3 linked regions of the Macaca mulatta genome follow. The protein of the gene in region 1 interacts with the protein of each later gene in a pairwise test. Links are inferred from orthologs where the notes say so. Each region holds a gene or a part of one and is shown in the gene's direction. Other genes may lie near its edges. The genes, in order: CRYAB, CRYGC and CRYBB2.

Region 1 (6,661 bases):
AGAAAATCACGGCTAGGAATTTGATCTGGAGCCAGCGTCAGCTTCCGGGTATGATCTCAGTATCCAAGTGCGAGCTCAGGGTCCTATGACGTTAGGCACATCAAACTGAGGAACTTTTTGTCTAGCTGGCTGTGACCGCCTCCCTCCCTCCCCATCCCAGCTTGCCGGCCACAGAATAGGGAGCAGCACAAACAAGGCCCTGAGATTTGGGTTTATTCGGCTCCACCCAAAACTAAACCAAGGCTATGACACGTCCCATGGGACCAAACCATACATTGTAGACCATGCACCTTTCCTTTCCCCCAAGGACGCTGCTACCTCTGGAGTGGTGGGCAGCTGCCCATATCACCATGGGAGGTAGAGAGGGATTTGCTGGGTGCTGGGTCTGTGGCAATCAGGGCTCAACTATGGCTGCCTCCTCCTCTTCCTCTGGATCAGGAGGCGCAGGGAGCAGGGAGATGTAGACCTCATTGACCTCTGTGTCCAAATGTCGGCCACCCCGAGGCGCTTCCAGGTTTAAGATGCCATCATGGGAGAGAGCAGCTCGGACCCGCCAGGGGTCGACATCAGCAGGCAGGACATAGGTGCGGCAGAACTCTCGGGACACGAAGCCGTGGCGGTCCAGGCGCTGGGGGTGCCGGGCAGACACCTCCAGCAGGTTATCCACAGTCCTCACAGTCACCTCGTCTGGGGTAAAGTGGCTCACATCCAGAAATGCCTGGAACTTGCCCTCACTGAGCCTAAGCTCGGAGGCCCCTGCCCTGCTGCCCTCCCCAGCTGGGGCGGCCCGAGGCCGGACATAGTAGCCATGGTAGAGTGTGGGGGTCAGGATCTCTTCTGGAAGGAGGCCTAAGGGGCAGAGAGAACGCAAGAGGCAGGATGAGGGAGGATGAGGCTGGCACAGGGGCGAAATGGGAAATCTGGAGAGGAGGGATTGGGAAGAGCAAGAGGGGAGTCAGGAGGAGTGGGGAACGGGAAGGAGGCCACACAGTAGCTAGGAGGAGAAGGCAGCTGGGAAGAGGGGAAAGAGAACGGAAAGGAAAGGGAGGAGGAGGAGGAGAAGCGGGGGGAGGAGGAGGCACCAAATGGCCTGGTTGATAGAAGGGGGACAAGGAGGCACACCCAGGCGGGCAAAGGGCAGGTAGCAGCACTGCAAGCACCAAGTGTGTCTTGAGGTCAGCAGGAATGGGAAAGAGCTCTGCTTGGAGGGGATGAGAGGGAGTCTGGGGTGGGGGGTGGCTGGTCCCAGGAGATCAGTTAAGCCCAGAGTGGGGTGGAGGCCAGTAACGTTGGGAGGTCAGCCCAGAATTTCAGGGGGTGGGGGTGGGAGGCAAGGGGGTGGCATCTGTGCCATACCTTCTCCGAAGCGCTGCTCACCCAGGCGGCTCGGGTTGGCAAATTCGTACTCAGCGGTGGCTGGGTGGGCATGTGGCACTGAGCGGCCCGACATGGCTGCAGATGCAGCGGGAGCCCTGGTCCGAGGTGCAGCCCCAACAGGCGCAGCGCGACCCCTCCAGCTGCCCGGAGAGCCAGGGCTCGATAGGAGGTGGGGGCGGGGTCGACACCACCCAAAATAGTGCCGAGCCTCTGGGGGGGAGGGGCGGGGAGTGGGGGCCCTGAGTGAGAGCAACGAGGGTGTGACCAGCGCCGCCTGGACCCCTAGTCCCCTCCCCCGCACACTCTTCAGCTGTCGCAGGGGGCCTGAGAGGACAGCTGAGGGTCCTGGTTAGGAACGAGCTGAGAAGGGGTAGCTGGTGGTGCCTGGGGCATGAAGAGGCCTCGCTGAGACCCTCACAAACGGTTTGCACGTTTCCACACCTCATTTTCTCCTCCTTGGAGGCCGGCACTGTGCACCCAATTCCTAAAGCACTCCTGGATTTAATGTTCTGAGAGCCACATAGGATGAAAGATGCAAGAAATCTTTCTGCTCTTTTTTTCAGGGAGTGGGGTCTTTCTGCCCAGATGTCGGAGTCCTCTCCTAAACCCAGGTCAACCCAGGGCAGGAGGCAGATGGCTGGTACTGACATGTTGACCATCACTGCTCTCTTCCAAGGACTCACAAAGAGTTAATGTCCCTGGGGCCCAGCCTAGGAAGATTCCAGTCCCTGCCCAGGCCCAAGATAGTTGCTGGCCTGATTCCCCTGGCATTCAGGACTGAAGAGGAGGAGGAGGAGGGGCACACTCCACCGCCTGCCCCCCCACCCGCCCGCGTGCCTGCTTGGGATTCCTGACTCTGTACCAGCTTCAGAGAACTGGGGTGGGGGTGGGTGCCACTGGGTGTGTACAGAAAGCTAGTGAAACAAGACCATGACAAGTCACTGGCCGGCTCAGACGTGTTTGTGTTTCTCTTTTCTTAGCTCAGTGAGTACTGGGTATGTGTCACACTGCCAAATCCCCGATCACAAGTCTCCATGAACCGGCGGTGAGCTAGGATAATAAAACCCCTGACATCACCATTCCAGAAGCTTCACAAGACTGCATATATAAGGGGCTGGCTGTAGCTGCAGCTGAAGGAGCTGACCAGCCAGCTGACCCCCCACACTCACCTAGCCACCATGGACATCGCCATCCACCACCCCTGGATCCGCCGCCCCTTCTTTCCTTTCCACTCCCCCAGCCGCCTCTTTGACCAGTTCTTCGGAGAGCACCTGTTGGAGTCTGATCTTTTCCCGACGTCTACTTCCCTGAGCCCCTTCTACCTTCGGCCACCCTCCTTCCTGCGGGCACCCAGCTGGTTTGACACTGGACTCTCAGAGGTGAGTCTCCCCACTGCTAGAATGGGAGAGTCCTTACTGGAACCTCCTGTAAACTTCTCCATCCATTTTCCTCTCCTTTCCTGCCTAAACCATTTTAGGCACATGTGTATCCAAATGTGAAGAAAAATGAGGAGGTTGCTAGTTCCTCCCTCCCCCGTCACCTGTTTCTACTTGATGGTCCTCTGTATCCCATTTATTACATTTTTTTCATGCACTGTCAAGTTCATCCTCCATCCCCTAACTTCTCTGCAGGGTACCCCTTTCTGGTTTGGTTCATAACAATCTGCAGGGAAAGAGCTGCCTTCAAACTCCTTTGCTCATCTCTTCTAACACCATGGACTCTTGACCAATTTTACCATCTCAGGTGTCAGAGCCAGGAGAGAGCCCTGCCTCACCCTGCCTGAGCTGTTCACCCTCATGGGCATTTTCTGCCTTTTTATTCCCTCTTCTGTGATTTTCTGGGTTTCTCAGGGCTGTGACAGGGCATTGGCCTGGGTCCAACCAAGCCTTATGAGGAAACAATATAGGGACCCCCACTCGTCCTAAGAGGGTGAGAGAACAGGGTGAACATATAAGGTTGACAGAAGCTGTCACAGATAACGCTCTGGTTTAAAAATATTCGAGTGTGAGTAAACAGGAGATGAGTGGGCAAGGGCTTTGGAAGGACAAGCAGGACCAGCAGAACATTCCAGATTGGGTGGGTGGAAAACTGGCAAAGAGACCTGAGCCAGAAGAAGAGGCCTTTGTCTCACAGACAAACCACAAAGCCAGGCATCGGAGCCAGAGAGGCAGCAGATGCCAGGCCTGCACCCATCCTTGCGACTGGTCCCCTGGGTGATCTGTCTTCTTCTCTGTCCCTGTAAATAAAGTTTGGGTCTGATCACCATGAGCCTTAGGTATCACTGTGGTGGCTCCCTGAAGCAGAGAGCCATGTTTATTTAAAAAGGGGATATTTTAAAGCAGAAAAGAGAAGGATGAATTACCTGGACAGAAAGCAACTCTGCAGAATAAGACAACACCAGTATAATGAGTACTTTCGCCATCTTTCTCCCGTCCCATTCCCTTACCTTGCTATTTCTAGATGCGCCTGGAGAAGGACAGGTTCTCTGTCAACCTGGATGTGAAGCACTTCTCCCCAGAGGAACTCAAAGTTAAGGTGTTGGGAGATGTGATTGAGGTGCATGGCAAACATGAAGAGCGCCAGGTATGTAGCTTGGTTTTTGTTTTCTGCTCATTCATTCAGTGTATACTGTAATAGTCCAGGTAGTGCTATCAGCTTTGGAGGCTGGCTACATTCCAGTCCCAAGCTATAATAGTCTAGATCAGGGGTTACAAATCAATGTCTAGAAGACTAAGTTAGGGATAGACCTATTGCTGTTGTTACTGTTGTTATGGCCAGAGATGTGGTCTTTGTTTGATTTGATCGCCTTAGATGGGATGATGGGATGTTGATGCCCCATCTTAGCCAGAGGTTCTGAATCTTGGCCACATTAGAATCACCAGGGGAACTTTCAAAAAACCTAATGCTCAGGCATATTCCAGACCAATTAAATCAGAATTTTTAGGGGTGGGACCCAGGGCATCAACATTTTTTAAGGTAATTCTAATCTACAGTCAAGGTTGAGGACCACTGATTTAGGTATAGGGCTGTCAGACACCTAGTTGCTTTGCATAATTACATTAACTACAGGTACCCTAAAGGCACTTGAGTTGTGAATTCTCTGTTAGCTGTGCAAGAATCCATGTCTCTTCTTTAGCCCATCTTAATGCTGAACTACTTGGTTTGTCTAAATTTCAGAGCTGTGCTCAGTCTTTAATCCCCTATAGCCCATGCGGAAATCAGTTAATGAGAGCCTGTTTGGCTACATGCTTGAGAGTCAGCAGGCATACGGGTTAAGGTCATCTACTCTTTGGGGGAATTCTGACGAATGGAACAGCTTTTCATGACTTTGTAAGAGGGCTTTAAAATTCCTTCTCACCAATTAACGATAGCTCAGCGATAGCTCAGAACCTGTGCGTCAACCAGTACAGTTTGTCCTTAGTAATGTCCTCAGGCTGTTTCAATTTTGCTCATATGATTTAGGTTTGGGTCATAGTCTCCTTGGATGGAGTCTTTTTTTTTTTTTTTTTTTTTTTTTTTTTTCCCCAGCAGCAGTCCTATTGTTCTGGAACCTTCTGGGACATTCCTGAAGAGTCAGGACAATTTCAGGGCTTCCTCAGGGACTCAGATTCTAAATGAGATTCCAAATTCTGTAGGCCCAGTCAACATTATCTAAACCTTTGGGAAATACTCCTAAACATATCTATGCCTCAGGGTTTGAAAAACAATGAAGTGTTGTACTGTTTCAGACTTCTCAGATTCTCACTGGTAGGAGTGACTACCTAGGTAACTTCATCTTAGCCACAACCCTGAAACAAAGCACTGTTTATTTTTCCTATGTTGTCATGGCATTTGGTCTCACCTAAGGGGAAATCAGGATGCCTGAGTTCTGGGCAGGTGATAGTAGTTCATATTCTTATCTCTCTGCCTCTTTCCTCATTCTTTTGGGTTAGGATGAACATGGTTTCATCTCCAGGGAGTTCCACAGGAAATACCGGGTCCCAGCTGATGTGGACCCTCTCACCATTACTTCATCCCTGTCATCTGATGGGGTCCTCACTGTGAATGGACCAAGGAAACAGGTCTCTGGCCCTGAGCGCACCATTCCCATCACCCGTGAAGAGAAGCCTGCTGTCACCGCAGCCCCCAAGAAATAGATGCCCTTTCTTGAATTGCATTTTTTAAAACAAGAAAGTTTCCCCGCCAGTGAATGAAAGTCTTGTGACTAGTGCTGAAGCTTATTAATGCTAAGGGCAGGCCCAAATTATCAAGCTAATAAAATATCATTCAGCAACAGATAACTGTCTTGTGTTTGAATATTCCACACACTTTTAAATAAATGTACGGATACCACAGATCTATTTATGATTGCATTATGATTTAGAGGGCTCCAAGGATTTTAGAGTCAGAATGACTGGCTCCACCATTTACTAATGATATAAATTTAGGCAAGTTGCTTAACCTTTCTGGTCTTCAGGTTTTCCATTTATAACATGGGTTACTGAGTTGTACAGAGCTATTATAGGAAGTAAATTAAGGAGAAGAAGCAGGAAAAGCCCCTGGCAGAGTTCAAGGAATATTAGTTACTCTGTCTCTGCCCTCTTTGATTTTAGCCCTCAGTTTAAAGGACTGGAACACATCTGAATGAACTCTGGATAATGCTACATAAAAGGCCTTACTGCATCTCTAAAATTAATTACATCATCAGGGAAGACATGGTGACCCTAATATTGTTTGACGTTTTCCTATTGATAAGTATTGCCTTAAGCTGATTTACAAGGGCAATAAGCAGGACTTGGGTGATTATCACCTAACAAGCTCTGAGGTATAGGCTAAATCAGTGGCCCCCAACCTTTTTGGCAGCAGGGACTGGTTTTGTGGAAGACAATTTTTCCCGTGGCCCCGGGGGAGCAGGGGATGGTTTCGGGATGATTCAAGCATTAGATTCTCATAAGGAGTACACAAGCTAGATCTCTCACGTGTGCAGTTCACAATAGGATTCATGCTTATATGAGAATGTAATGCCACCACTGATCTGACAGGAGGAGGAGCTCAGCTTCACTCACCTCCTACTGTGCAGCCTATTTCCTAATAGGCCACAGGCCAGTACCAGTCCATGGCCTAGGGGTTGGGACCCCTGGTCTAAATTATCGAGCAAACACCTACTAACCTAAGGCCAGGAAATATCCAATTCAATGACCTACCACATAATAGTTAAGTTTTAGAATTACAATTAATAACCAATCAATAAGTGGTTATATTATTTAGCTTAAAGACATACCACTATGCAAAAAAATCCCCCCCA
Region 2 (6,148 bases), on another chromosome or scaffold:
ACCACTGCACTCCAGCCTGGGTAACAGAGTGAGACTCCGTCTCAAAACATAAAATAAATTAAATAAAATAAAAAATAAAAATATAGGTTCTGAGGTCTTCTCCTGATCTAATGATGCAGGATTTGGCCAAAAGGTCAAGATGGTAATTTGCGGTTTTGACATGCCAGGTGATTCTTAGGCACACTCGAGTTTGAAAACCGCCTGATGGTTTCTGAAGTCCCTTCCAAGCCTAATTTTTCTTTAATCACAAAATGGCTTTACAGAGGATAAATTTTTTTCAGGAATCTTTGAAAGGATTAAATACCTTTGAGAGAGATAAACAGGATAAAGTCAGCCTTAACGATGTCACTCTATTACTAATAACAACATATATTCAGTGTTCATTTGTGCCAAGTATGTGCCAAATGCTTTATACACATAATCCCACTTATTCATGTCAATATCCTTTAGCTAAAGGCCACCAGGGACACACCTGTCTTTAAACAAGTTGAGCTTATTATTTGTTGCAGCAAGGGAGTAAGTTCTCCTTGGGGAAGCATGGAGTGTCTCAGTAGAGAGCTTATAAAGAAATTGTTAATAGGATTTGCACTTCAGTTGTGTGATTTGGGGGAGGATCTTAAAAATCTGAAGTTCACTCTAGATTAGATGTTAGCAGAAAGCAGGGTTAATTTTGTGATTAGTTATCTCAAGAAATCTTACCCGTAGGGAAGGGAGACTAGAACACGGATAAACCTGTAATCCATAAAGAAGTAGCAGTTAATCATTTTGGCTGAGAGAGTGAGGGCTTGGGATTTTGAGAGTGTAGCATTGACTTTGTTTTTGTCTGCGCTTAGGCAAAGTTAAGAAGTGGCTTTATTGTATCTCATTTCATCATGGTCTCGGAGTAGCCTTGTCTGAAGTTGTTATTCTGTGAGACTGTTTATGTCTAACAGGGGAGTAACATGTCCTCACTGTGAGTGCCAGGCCAGCATCTGAATGTCAGAGGCTGCCCTCTTGTCTCACTTTATTTCTCATTAATCAGACTGTAGTCCATGAGATAACTCATGCTCTGAGTGGTTATGTAATTTGCCATGGAGCTAATCAGTGGGCCTTCTGAGTGCAGGTGGCCTGAGTCCAAAGCTCACGCTCTTGCCGGTGAAGCTTTACGGCCTCCCTCACGCTTGAAGAAGGGAAAGCAATCTATAAAGTAGGATACAGTACTTCTCAGTCTCAGGCCCAGTGACCACAGAAACCTTTCCCTTGCTTGTTATCATAAGTTCACCACCAGGGACTGACTTCTAGTTAGATGACGTGCCCACGAAAGGCAAGGTTAAGAGCTGTCTTAAAGCATTGGGTTAACGAAGTCAAAACTAGCCAAGACATGCATCTAGATTTGTGTCCTGCCCTGGACTGGAAAACTGCGTAAAGACAAAAATTTAAGGTACAGCAGTCTCTACCATCCAGGGAAATGAGTCAGTGTTTGTGGCATTCTACATCAACAACCTCTCTGGAATCCTGGAGCGATTCTATAATGGCATAGATCTTTCCCAGAAAATTCACAGGAAATTACTCAATCATATAGAGAGAGCCATGAATTTCGGGTCAAAAGTTCAGACTGATGCGCAGATAAATTTAGAAAACAGTAACAATCCAAATAAAAGCAACACAGAGCAGTATGTGCAGGACAGCGTTAGAATATACCAGAGAACAAGGACACAATCTACAATCATTTCCAGTGAATGCAGCATGTTAAAGAGATGCGTAAAATCCCCTTACCGCCGAGGGCCCCTTTTGTGTTGTTCTTGCCAACGCAGCAGCCATCCTGCTATATAGACTGGCTGTGCGGCCGCAGGCCCCATCACACTGAACTCGCATCATCCGTGTCAACCAGCCATGGGGAAGGTAAGCAGAACACAAAAAATAAAATGAAAAAAAAAATTGCCGTTATATAATGCCTGTTAAGAGCAAATAATGCAATTTGGAACGATTCTTCCTTTGCAGATCACCCTCTATGAGGACAAGGCCTTCCAGGGCCGCAGCTACGAATCCACCACTGACTGCCCCAACCTGCAGACGTATTTAAGCCGCTGCAACTCCATCCGGGTGGAAAGTGGCTGCTGGATGCTCTATGAGCGTCCCAACTACCAAGGTCAACAATACTTGCTGCGGAGAGGGGAGTACCCTGACTACCAGCAATGGATGGGCCTCAGCGACTCCATCCGCTCCTGTTGTCTCATCCCCCAGGTGAGTTTTCTAGATTTCCATCATGCCGCCGGAGTGTCCCCACTGTATGGTCAATGTGGGTTAGAGGGAGGGAGGTTTGCATTTAAAAACTCCTAAGGGTTAGATGGACATCAGAGACCTGCATAAGCCAGATAGATAACATGGACAAAAACAGCAGAGAAATGTAAGGAAGAACCCACTTAGAGGGAGAATCCGTTTTACTTTAAATTTTTGCTACCAATAAGTCAATTAAAAGTGGTCTGTAACAAATGTAATATCATAATGGGATATAAAACAAAACTTGCAAATGGGAAGCTGGTTGGGCATACAAAGACGATATTTTTAACAAATTGTTTTGCCTATAGAAAAAGAATTTCTGATGAATTAATTAGATAGGTTCCACTGTGGACAAGTAAACCTTCAAAGCTGTATTGTTAATATAGGCTATTCAAAGGTTGTGTCCAACTTTGGAAAAGGTAATTTTTCTTAATTTGGAAAATCAGTTAAATTCTCATTCCAAATGACTATTTAAATTAACTTTACACTGAAGTACAAGATTTTTTAAATCTTACTTTAGTGGTAAATTTATATGTTTATAAATTTGGGAGATAATACTCTTACTAAAAGAATACTAGTCAAAATAAATTATTTCTATTTTTTCCCCAAAATGTAGTTTGAATTAACACAGGTAATTAGGAATCAAGATATCTGAGCTCTTGATGGATTCTAACTCAGCGTTTGAACCTCTTAAAAATTCCATCTCCTAAATAAGAATGAATTTCAGGTCAAAAAGAAAATGAGCATAGCAGTATTTAGGTGCTAGTGGAAGACAGATCCATGCGCAGCATCCACAGTAATCTACATTTTACACTGTCTAAATTTGACATTGACAATTCCATGCCCCACCCTACCAAGTTCATCTGTTCTTTGGTTGGACAAATTCCGGAAGAGACTCATTTGCTTTTCTCTATCCTTCTTTCTGCGGACCGAGTAGACAGGCTCCCACAGGCTGCGGCTGTACGAGAGAGAAGACCACAAAGGCCTCATGATGGAGCTGAGTGAGGACTGCCCCAGCATCCAGGACCGCTTCCACCTCAGCGAGATCCGTTCCCTCCACGTGCTGGAGGGCTGCTGGGTCCTCTACGAGCTGCCCAACTACCGGGGGCGCCAATACCTGCTGAGGCCCCAAGAGTACAGGCGGTGCCAGGACTGGGGGGCCATGGATGCTAAGGCTGGCTCTTTGCGGAGAGTGGTGGATTTATACTGAAATAGCTTAACACTACCAATTTCCCATTTTGGAACCTAATAAAGATTTAGTCTGCATTATTGGCAATTGCTGACTTCTGTCGTTCTTTCATTGTGCAAATCAGTTCACCTTTAAATTTCCTTGTCAAAAGTTAAGAAGTGAATGGGCAGGAGACCAGTCCTGTTGGAAAAGAGCTTCAAGGTAGAGTGAGTTTGAACAAGCCTAGAGTGAGTTTGAACAAGGTAGAGTGAGTTGGGGTGGAGGCAGGGTGTAGCCTGCCTGAGAAAGAAAAGGCAGGGCAATGCCAGAGACCTGGGAGAGGCTGACTGGCGAGAAGGGAGGCATTCAACTAAGTACCTTGAGGAACAATAGTTCGGAATTTTCCTTCTAACCAAAAATGTGGGTCAGACAAAAGGCAAAGTCAGATGAGTGGTGAGGGCACACTTAACTTGGCCGACAGCCTGATTAGACTATACAAAGGATTGTACTTTTGTTTACTTTCAGGCACAGTATTGTATTAGTAATGCCAGAGCCACCACGGCCACTGCTGTACCTTTGAACAAAGTTAAACACCATTCATCTCCTTTTGAAAATGACTCCTGTCCAGGACTGTAGCTCTTTGTCAGTACTACCCCTGGCCCAAATGCTGTGTTAATTACAGAAACTGCACATCAGTTTCATGGTGACCAGCTATTGCAAATAAATTAATAAGAGATACATATCAATCTTTTAAATAGATTTGCATGGTATAGTGTACCCCAAACATAAAAAGTAACTACAAAAAACATCGTTCTGCCATAAGGACACATGTGTATATATTCATCACAGCACTATTCACGACAACAAAGACGTGGAGTCAACCAAAATGTCCATCAATGGTAGGCTGGGTTTTACAAAGTGGTACATACACACAATGGAATACTATGCAGCCATAAAAAAAGAATGAGACCCTGTCCTTTGCAGCAACATAGGTGGAGCTGGAGGCCAATATCCTAAGCAAACTAACACAGGAACAGAAAACAAAATACCTCCAGGTTGGAGAGGATCGAAAAACTACCTGTCAGGTACTATACTTATCACCTGGGTGATAAAATAATCTGTACACCAAACCCCCACAACACACAATTTACCTGTATTACAAACCTAGATATGTGCCCCTGAATCTAAAATAAAAGTTAAAATAAATAAATAAGTCCTGTAATTACAAAACGGGCCCAAATTTAAAGGTGCATTAAAGAAAGCCATAATTTCTGGAGCCTTTGATTAAACTAAAATCTGCTTGCTCATAAGCAAAGCCCTAAAAAGTTTTTTTAAAAAAAAAGAAAGAAAAGAAAGCAATTGCAAGTTTTTTCATCAGTAGAGAATTAATTTATTTTAACTTAAAAATTTCCCTTCAAAGTAAAAGTCCTCCCATAATCTTACTACTGTACAAATTCTATAAAGAAGTAGAAGGGAGTCCTTCTGATGCCCCTCATTGCTAACTCCTGTTTATAGCTGGTGAGCACCCTTCTGGGATTTTCGCCTTGTTTATATAGCTGTCTCATAAAACACATGCTTCTTTTCTTTACAAAAATGGAATCATGCTATATATATTAGTCTGCAACTGGCTTTTAAAATGTATTATAATATGGACATATATCTAGGTCAGTATCTTATTCTGTTTCATGGTTGAATTGCATCTTGTTGTTTGGAAGTCCCTTAGACCATTTCACCATTTGTCCACTTAAGTGACTGGGCTTTCCCAATGTTGCTTTGACCAACAATGCTGCAAAGAATGACATTGTACATATACGCTAACCCTGACGTGCCATAATTTTAAAAAGATAGTGACCTAGAAGTGAGACTACCGGCTCATACTGCAAGTTTATTTTATTTATTTATTTTTTGAGACATGGTCACACTCTGTTGTCCAGGATAGAGTGCAGTGGCACAAACACAGCTCACTGCAGCTTTGACCTCCCAGGATCAAGCAATGATCCTTCCATCTCAGCTTCCTAAGTAGCTGAGGCTACAGGAGTGCACCACCATGCCCAGCTAATTTTTTCCTTTTTTATAGAAAGGGGGTCTCACTACGTTGCCAGGGCTGGTCTCAAACTCCTGGGCTCAAGTGATCCTCCCACATTGGCCTCCAAAAGTGCTGGGATTACAGGTGTGAGCCACCACACCCAGCCACAAGTTTATTTTCCATTTCAATATCCTCCATTTATTAGCCACTAGAGACTCAACTTCTCTGAGTTAGGATCCTTACCAATTTTTGAGCACCTACCATGAGCCTGCTATATGTAGCAATGGGGATGAAGAAAACAATCAAAACAAAACAAAAGAAAAAGGTAATTTCACTACCACTGCAGAGCTCTGCATAGAAAGAATACAAAAAAAAAAAAAAAAAAAAAAAAAAAAAAAAAGCAGCAGCAGCAGCAGCCAGAAAATAAAAATTAAAATAATTTGTATTGCACATAGTTGGTGTTTAGTTCATAAATACCACTTACAAAGATTTATGACTCAAAGACAAGACAAAGTACTTCCATGGGTTGACACAGGGCTGTGAGCAATTCTTTGAACATGAAAGGAGCTGGACACAGGTCATTTTCCACTCCAGTGCTCTTTCCAGTCCATCAAACTGTTCTCTTCCAGGCCAATAAATACTTTCTAAAGTCTTCCTCGAGTCCAGCTTCTAGACACTTATTCCTTCCTCTCCCT
Region 3 (6,188 bases), on another chromosome or scaffold:
GGGCCGTTATTTAGACCGCCTTCTTATTTCTTAACTGTGTTCCAGGTGGTTAAAGGCAACATAGCACTGAGTTCTGGATAAATGGGGGGACTGTGCGCTTGGATTTGCCGTGCTAAGGTTCGGGTGGGGCTACTACATCTTGCCGGGTTGGGCAAGAGTGAACCCCAGGGGCCAACGTGAGTAGCCAGGATCCTGCCATAGGAAGCTTGGAGTGGAACTGACCTGCCCCCTTTCTCTCTGTCTCCATGGCAGCTGGGTGGGCTATGAACAGGCCAACTGCAAGGGCGAGCAGTTTGTGTTTGAGAAGGGCGAGTACCCCCGCTGGGACTCGTGGACCAGCAGCCGCAGGACAGACTCCCTCAGCTCCCTGAGGCCCATCAAAGTGGTGAGCCCCCTGCCATCATCCTACTTTCTCTCTCTGCCCATCATCCTACTTTCTGTCTTTGCCACCTTGGAGCCGGAGGTCCTGAGACCAGGAAAGAGCCTGCCCCTCTAGCATTGTGCCCCTTCTGATTGGTGAGGAACCTCCTCACTGGGTGACCTTGCAAAAGTCATTTTACTTCCCTGAGCCTCAGTTTCTTCATCTGTAAAATGGGCATATTGGTATCTACTGTCCTGAGATTCCAATGTGCTTATTAGCTTGAGGGTTGTCACGCTGCGCAACTCCAGGGGTCTCCAATCACAAGACTATGAAATGCCCCAGAGGGCACTATTCACATTCTGTTTTACGTGGTTGGTGCCCCCCACCCCGCAGGGTTGGGCAACTCCCATCACAGAGTCATTGCTCAATAATCAATAGCCATCAGAAATACAAGAAATTCTGAGTTCAGGACTGGAGGAGAAGGTGGTTTAGCTCTTCTTCAAGACTCGTGCCAGTGTGAGTTTTCAGTGCTTCTGAGATCCCGAGTCTTACTAGTGTGTGAGTGTGTAAACTGTCGGGGAGGGGACAGGGCCCATCACTGCTCAGTTACACTCCCAAACCCTCCAAGCCCAGTCTAGCTCCTCCCAGGACCTACTGGAAGGTTGGAGAACACTGGACTTCACACCCCACAGACCCAGGTTCCCATGTTGGCTGTGCTGCTCCCATCTGTGTGGCCTTGAGCACGTCATTTGACCTCTCTGTGCCTCATTTTTCTCATCTGCCAAATGGCATAAAAGGATTTTATGTCTAAGGGATAAGGGTTTTCTTATCTGAAAATCTTATCTTAAACTGAAAATGTTTAAAGGATTAGATAACTAAGGAAAATGTTACAGGAACAGGAGGATGGGAAGAGATGTAGAAATGAAGAAAAATCAAAATATCTCAGGTGCCTATTAGAGGCACAATTAGCCTGTGCATGTGTGTGTGTGCCTGCCTGTGTGTGCATGTGTGTGCACGTGTGTGTGTGCGTGTGTGCCTGTGTGTGCTTGTGTGTGTGTGCGCGTGTGTGTGCACGTGTGTGTGCATGTGTGTGTGCGCATGTGTGGGTGTGCGTGTGTGTGTGCGCCTGTGTGCATGTGTGTGTGTGCATGTGTGTGCCTGTGTGTGTATGCCTGTGAGTGTGCCTGTGTGTGCATGTGTGGGTGTGCACTTGTGAGTGGGTGGTAGATTGTAGCTGCCATTTATAAAAGAGAAACTTGAGGCATAGGAGGAAAAAATGACATTTCAGAATCAAATATTCCCCAAAGTGTCAGAGTGTCTGTTACATGAAAATGGCCCAGTAGAAACTTAACAAATGGCTGCGATCCAACAGCAGTTGTCATAGACACGTGGTAGGTGCACTGGGCAGAGAGTGATGTGTGGGACATGCGGATCCCAACTCTGGGGCATGAGCATGGGGTGGGAAGGCCAACCCTGGGCCCCGTCACTCATACTCACTTCCCCACATCCTCTGCCAATAGGACAGCCAAGAGCACAAGATCATCCTCTATGAAAACCCCAACTTCACCGGGAAGAAGATGGAAATCATAGATGACGACGTACCCAGCTTCCACGCCCATGGCTACCAGGAGAAGGTGTCATCTGTGCGGGTGCAGAGTGGCACGTAAGCGCATTGCCAGCCCTGGCTCACCCTGCCCCAGGAACTGAGACTCTCGGGTCCTAAGTCCTGCTCTGCCCTGTGTACACTGGTGATCTTGCACACATCAGTGTACTCTGCTGACCTCTGGCTTCCCACTGGAAAGTAAATGGGAATTCTCTGTCCACAGGTAGCTTACAGCCCCTGAATTTCTCTCTAGAGCTGCCTTTGGGGAAATGGCCTTTGGAGTGGAGAAACCTTGGCCTTTACCTCAGCCCCAGTGAGCAAGACATGTATGTCAGAGGGGCAAGTTGAGGCAGAGGGAGGATTAGGTTGAGGCAGGAGGGAAGGAATGAGTTAAGTAGTCTGAAAGCTGAGAAGCAGGAGGACCAGCCCATGCTGCCTTTGACCGCATGTGTCCCTAAGTTTGGGAACAGGAGGTGTCATTTTCCTCTGAATGGAAGTTCCTGGGCACATCGACCCTGGCCATCAGCAATGGGGGATTTCTCATGGTAAAAAATTTGGATTCCATGGGGGGTCCACAGATGAGCTTTGGGCAGCAGTGTGTTGGAAATAGCTTATATCAGCCTTTTTTAAATTTTTTTTATTTTTTTTTAATTGAGATGGGGTCTTGCACTGTCGCCCGGGCTGGAATGCAGTGGAACAATCTTGGCTCACTGCAGCCTCCGCCTCCCAGGTTCAAGCAATTCTCCTGTCTCAACCTCCCAAATAGCTGGGATTACAGGTGCCCACTACCAAGCTCAGCAATTTTTTTTTTTTTTTTTTTTTTTTTTTTGAGACGGAGTCTCGCTCTGTCGCCCAGGCTGGAGTGCAGTGGCCAGATCTCAGCTCACTGCAAGCTCCGCCTCCCAGGTTTATGCCATTCTCCTGCCTCAGCCTCCCGAGTAGCTGGGACTACAGGCGCCCGCCACCTCGCCCGGCTAGTTTTTTGTATTTTTTAGTAGAGATGGGGTTTCACCGTGCTAGCCAGGATGGTCTCGATCTCCTGACCTCGTGATCCGCCCGTCTCGGCCTCCCAAAGTGCTGGGATTACAGGCGTGAGCCACCGCGCCCGGCCGAGAAAAGATTCTTGAGCTGAGATCTCAAGAAACAGTAGGAATTGCGGGGGTAAAGAGGCCAAGCAAGAGCGTCCCAGACAATGAGAGCAGCATGTGCAAAGGCCCTGTGGTGCATGTGGGGGGAGCCTGGTAGGTCTGAGAAACTCTACAAAGGCCACTGGCTGGACTGCAGAGATGTGGGAGCATAAGAATGCGAAGGTAGTGCTGGATATGTCCATAGAGACTGGCCAGGCAGGTCCTTGCAGGCCAGGCCTGTGTGACATTTTCTGGAGAGAAGACCAGTACTTTCATTAAGTAGCCCCTGGAACCTCTTTCATCAGAAGACCCCTGGAACCTCCCCCAACTGTTTGGCCTTGCAGCTGGGCTTGGAGGTGGGATAGCAGTGGATGGAGATGGTTCAAAGGTCTGACTTATTCTAAACTTCAGTGAGCTTAAGATACCACCCCCTTGCTCTGACCCCAGTACCAGGCCTTCAGTCAAAATTTGCTTCAGGAGGCAGTGAGCTCCCCATTAAGAGAAGGAAGAAAGCAGTGCTGGAAGGGTGGGGTGGAAAGGGTGTCCTGCTTACTCCTGGGAAGTGGCAATGGTTGGGAGGCTTCACCCTTCCTAGTGGCTTATGGATGCTCTCTCCCCTCGCTTCTCTCTTGTTTCTCTTCCTGTTCCCCCGGTTCACCCTCCCCTCACCTCTGGTCCTGCAGGTGGGTTGGCTACCAGTACCCCGGCTACCGCGGGCTGCAGTACCTGCTGGAGAAGGGAGACTACAAGGAGAGCAGCGACTTTGGGGCCCCTCACCCCCAGGTGCAGTCTGTGCGCCGCATCCGCGACATGCAGTGGCACCAACGTGGCGCCTTCCACCCCTCCAACTAGTACCCTCCCCACCATGCCTCTTTCCCAGGACCCAGACCTGCTGCCCAGGAACCCTCCAGACCAACCAGAGAGTGAATAAAGTGTGACTTGCAACTTGTCTGCTGTGGGTCTCTGATCCCCCCAGCAGCTGGGGTGTGTGTGTGTGTGTGTGTGTGTGTGTGTGTGTGTGAGAGAGAGAGAGAGAGAGAGAGAGAGAGAGAGAGAGAGACAGCGAGAGAGAAATGAGAATCAGCATGTATCTGGGCTAGGAGTAGGGCAACAGAACCCTTAATTGAATCTTACAGTTCTGCAGCTGCTTAGCTGTGTGACCTTGGACACAGTGCCCAACCTCTCTGAGCCTTTATTTCTTCATCTGACTTGAAATTCCCTTGCCTCTGAGTGGCTGGCTTGGTTGAGCTCCTGAGCCCCCTGTTACATGCTGGTTGCTGAGCACAGTCATTCTCAGGGGCATGTGATGGGTGCCCCAGCCCTTAAAAACGTGTTCACTGCCCGCCATTCTCACATTATCACATTATCCCCTTGAGTCTGGGAGTCTTTTTTGATTTGCAAGAGAAGCCAAGAACCCTGAATCCCCCACTCCAGCCCAGGGAGAGGTCAGAATGCCACGTTTGTGAGTGTGTTCATTCATTCATCATATGGCTGCGGGCAACTGTTAGTAATTTAAGAATCTACACATCTAAGCTACTTCAATGAGGAAGAGACTACTGAGCTGTGAGGATCTTGGCTGTAGCCAGGCTCAAGGTGATGCAATGATCTGGGAATGAAGGCTGGTTTATACTGCTGTTCTGGGCCATTGGCCAGGGATAGAGGCTCAGGCAAGTCCTTTTGCCTTCAGAGCTTTGATGCTTCTACTCAGGAAGATGGGAGAGAAACAGTACCTTCCTAATGGGATTGCGACAAGGCTGAAACGAAATGCTGCAGGCCTTCTGTCTTTAGACTCAGCTTTTGTTGGTTAATATGCAGTGCAAATATCTGCTTCCTGGGTGCAGCCTCTTGCCACTTTGTTTTTGGTATCTCTTGATACCATTTTAAATTTTAATGTAGTCAAACAGCAATATTTTCCTTTAGGGTTTATGCCTTTCACATCTCCTTGAAGAAATTCTTTCTTCTTCCTTTTTTTTTTTCCCAAGACAGAGTCTTGCTCTGTTGCCCAGGCTGGAGTGCAGTGGTACAATCTTGGCTCACTGCAACCTCCGCCTCCCGGGTTCAGCAGTTCTCCCGCTTCAGCCTCCCGAGTAGCTGGATTACAGGCATGCACCACCATGCCCGCCTAAATTTTGTATTTTTAGTAGGGGTTTCACCATGTTGGCCCGGCTGGTCTTGAATCCCTGAACTTGTGATCCGCCTGCTTTGGCCTCCCAAAGTGCTGGGATTACAGGAGTGAGCCACTATGCCCGGCCAACCTTGAAGAAATTCTTTCTAATCCCTGGTTACAAAGAAATTGCCCAATATATTTTTTTCCCTAAACTTTTAAAACTTTTGCTCTTCACATTTGCGTTCTTAATCCTTCTGGAGCTGATTCTTGCATGTAGTGTATGGTAGAGATTCAGTTTCCTTTTCTTTTTTTTTCCACTTTGGACATCCGATGTCCTAAAATCATTCATGAAGGAGTCCATTTGCTGCACTGCAGCGCAGTCACCTTGCTGATCCATCCCCTTCCCCATAGATGGGGTGATTTTATGGGCTGTCTTTTCTGTTCCTATAGTCAGTGTATCCCCGCACTTTGCCACTTTATGTTCATGACTACTGCTTTGTAGTCAGTGTTGAGGTCCCTAAAACAGGGGCCCTGAAACCCTGGGTCTCCCATGGCCGGAAATGGGGGTTGCACAACAGGAGGTGGGCATTGCAGCCTGAGCTCCGCCTCCTGTCAGACCAGCGGAGGCATTAGATTCTCACAGGAGTGCAAACCCTATTGTGAATTGTACATGCAAAGGATCTAGGTTGCATGCTCCAATGAGAATCTAACGTCCGCTGCCCACAGCCCATGAAAAAGTGTCTTCCACAAAATCGATCCCTGGTGCCAAAACATTTGGGGACCACTGCCCTATAACATGATTCTTCAGGAATGTTTTAGAAATTCTCGCCCCTTTAGGACTCCATTTAGAAGCATCCCCTCACATTTGGAAAAGTGGAAAACCTTGTTGAATGAACTAAAGTGGTTCAAATGATTATCATAAAGGTAGAAACCAGTAAGTGCTCCATATACATCATGGAATACTATGCAGCCATAAAAAAGAATGAGTTC

Evidence for each region.
Region 2: the proteins of CRYAB (region 1) and CRYGC interact in binary tests that used the Homo sapiens proteins (3 or more experiments, as listed by UniProt). The link is inferred for Macaca mulatta from reciprocal best matches to the Homo sapiens genes CRYAB and CRYGC.
Region 3: the proteins of CRYAB (region 1) and CRYBB2 interact in a two-hybrid assay, tested with the Homo sapiens proteins (2 studies listed by BioGRID and IntAct). The link is inferred for Macaca mulatta from reciprocal best matches to the Homo sapiens genes CRYAB and CRYBB2.

Annotation. Positions count from the first base shown.
Region 1 is NC_133419.1:112,656,198-112,662,858, reverse strand, and holds CRYAB (alpha-crystallin B chain), read left to right. Parts: upstream 1-2,522; 5' UTR 2,523-2,555; coding exon 2,556-2,756; intron 2,757-3,546; exon of another isoform or gene 3,547-3,615; intron 3,616-3,837; coding exon 3,838-3,960; intron 3,961-5,309; coding exon 5,310-5,513; 3' UTR 5,514-5,652; downstream 5,653-6,661. Other genes in the region: HSPB2 (heat shock protein beta-2), read right to left, coding at 395-849, 1,357-1,450. UniProt on the Homo sapiens protein: May contribute to the transparency and refractive index of the lens. Has chaperone-like activity, preventing aggregation of various proteins under a wide range of stress conditions.
Region 2 is NC_133417.1:113,407,824-113,413,971, reverse strand, and holds CRYGC (gamma-crystallin C), read left to right. Parts: upstream 1-1,850; 5' UTR 1,851-1,872; coding exon 1,873-1,881; intron 1,882-1,980; coding exon 1,981-2,223; intron 2,224-3,196; coding exon 3,197-3,469; 3' UTR 3,470-3,540; downstream 3,541-6,148. UniProt on the Homo sapiens protein: Crystallins are the dominant structural components of the vertebrate eye lens.
Region 3 is NC_133415.1:26,673,190-26,679,377, forward strand, and holds the end of CRYBB2 (beta-crystallin B2), read left to right. Parts: intron 1-252; coding exon 253-385; intron 386-1,881; coding exon 1,882-2,024; intron 2,025-3,774; coding exon 3,775-3,943; 3' UTR 3,944-4,040; downstream 4,041-6,188. UniProt on the Homo sapiens protein: Crystallins are the dominant structural components of the vertebrate eye lens.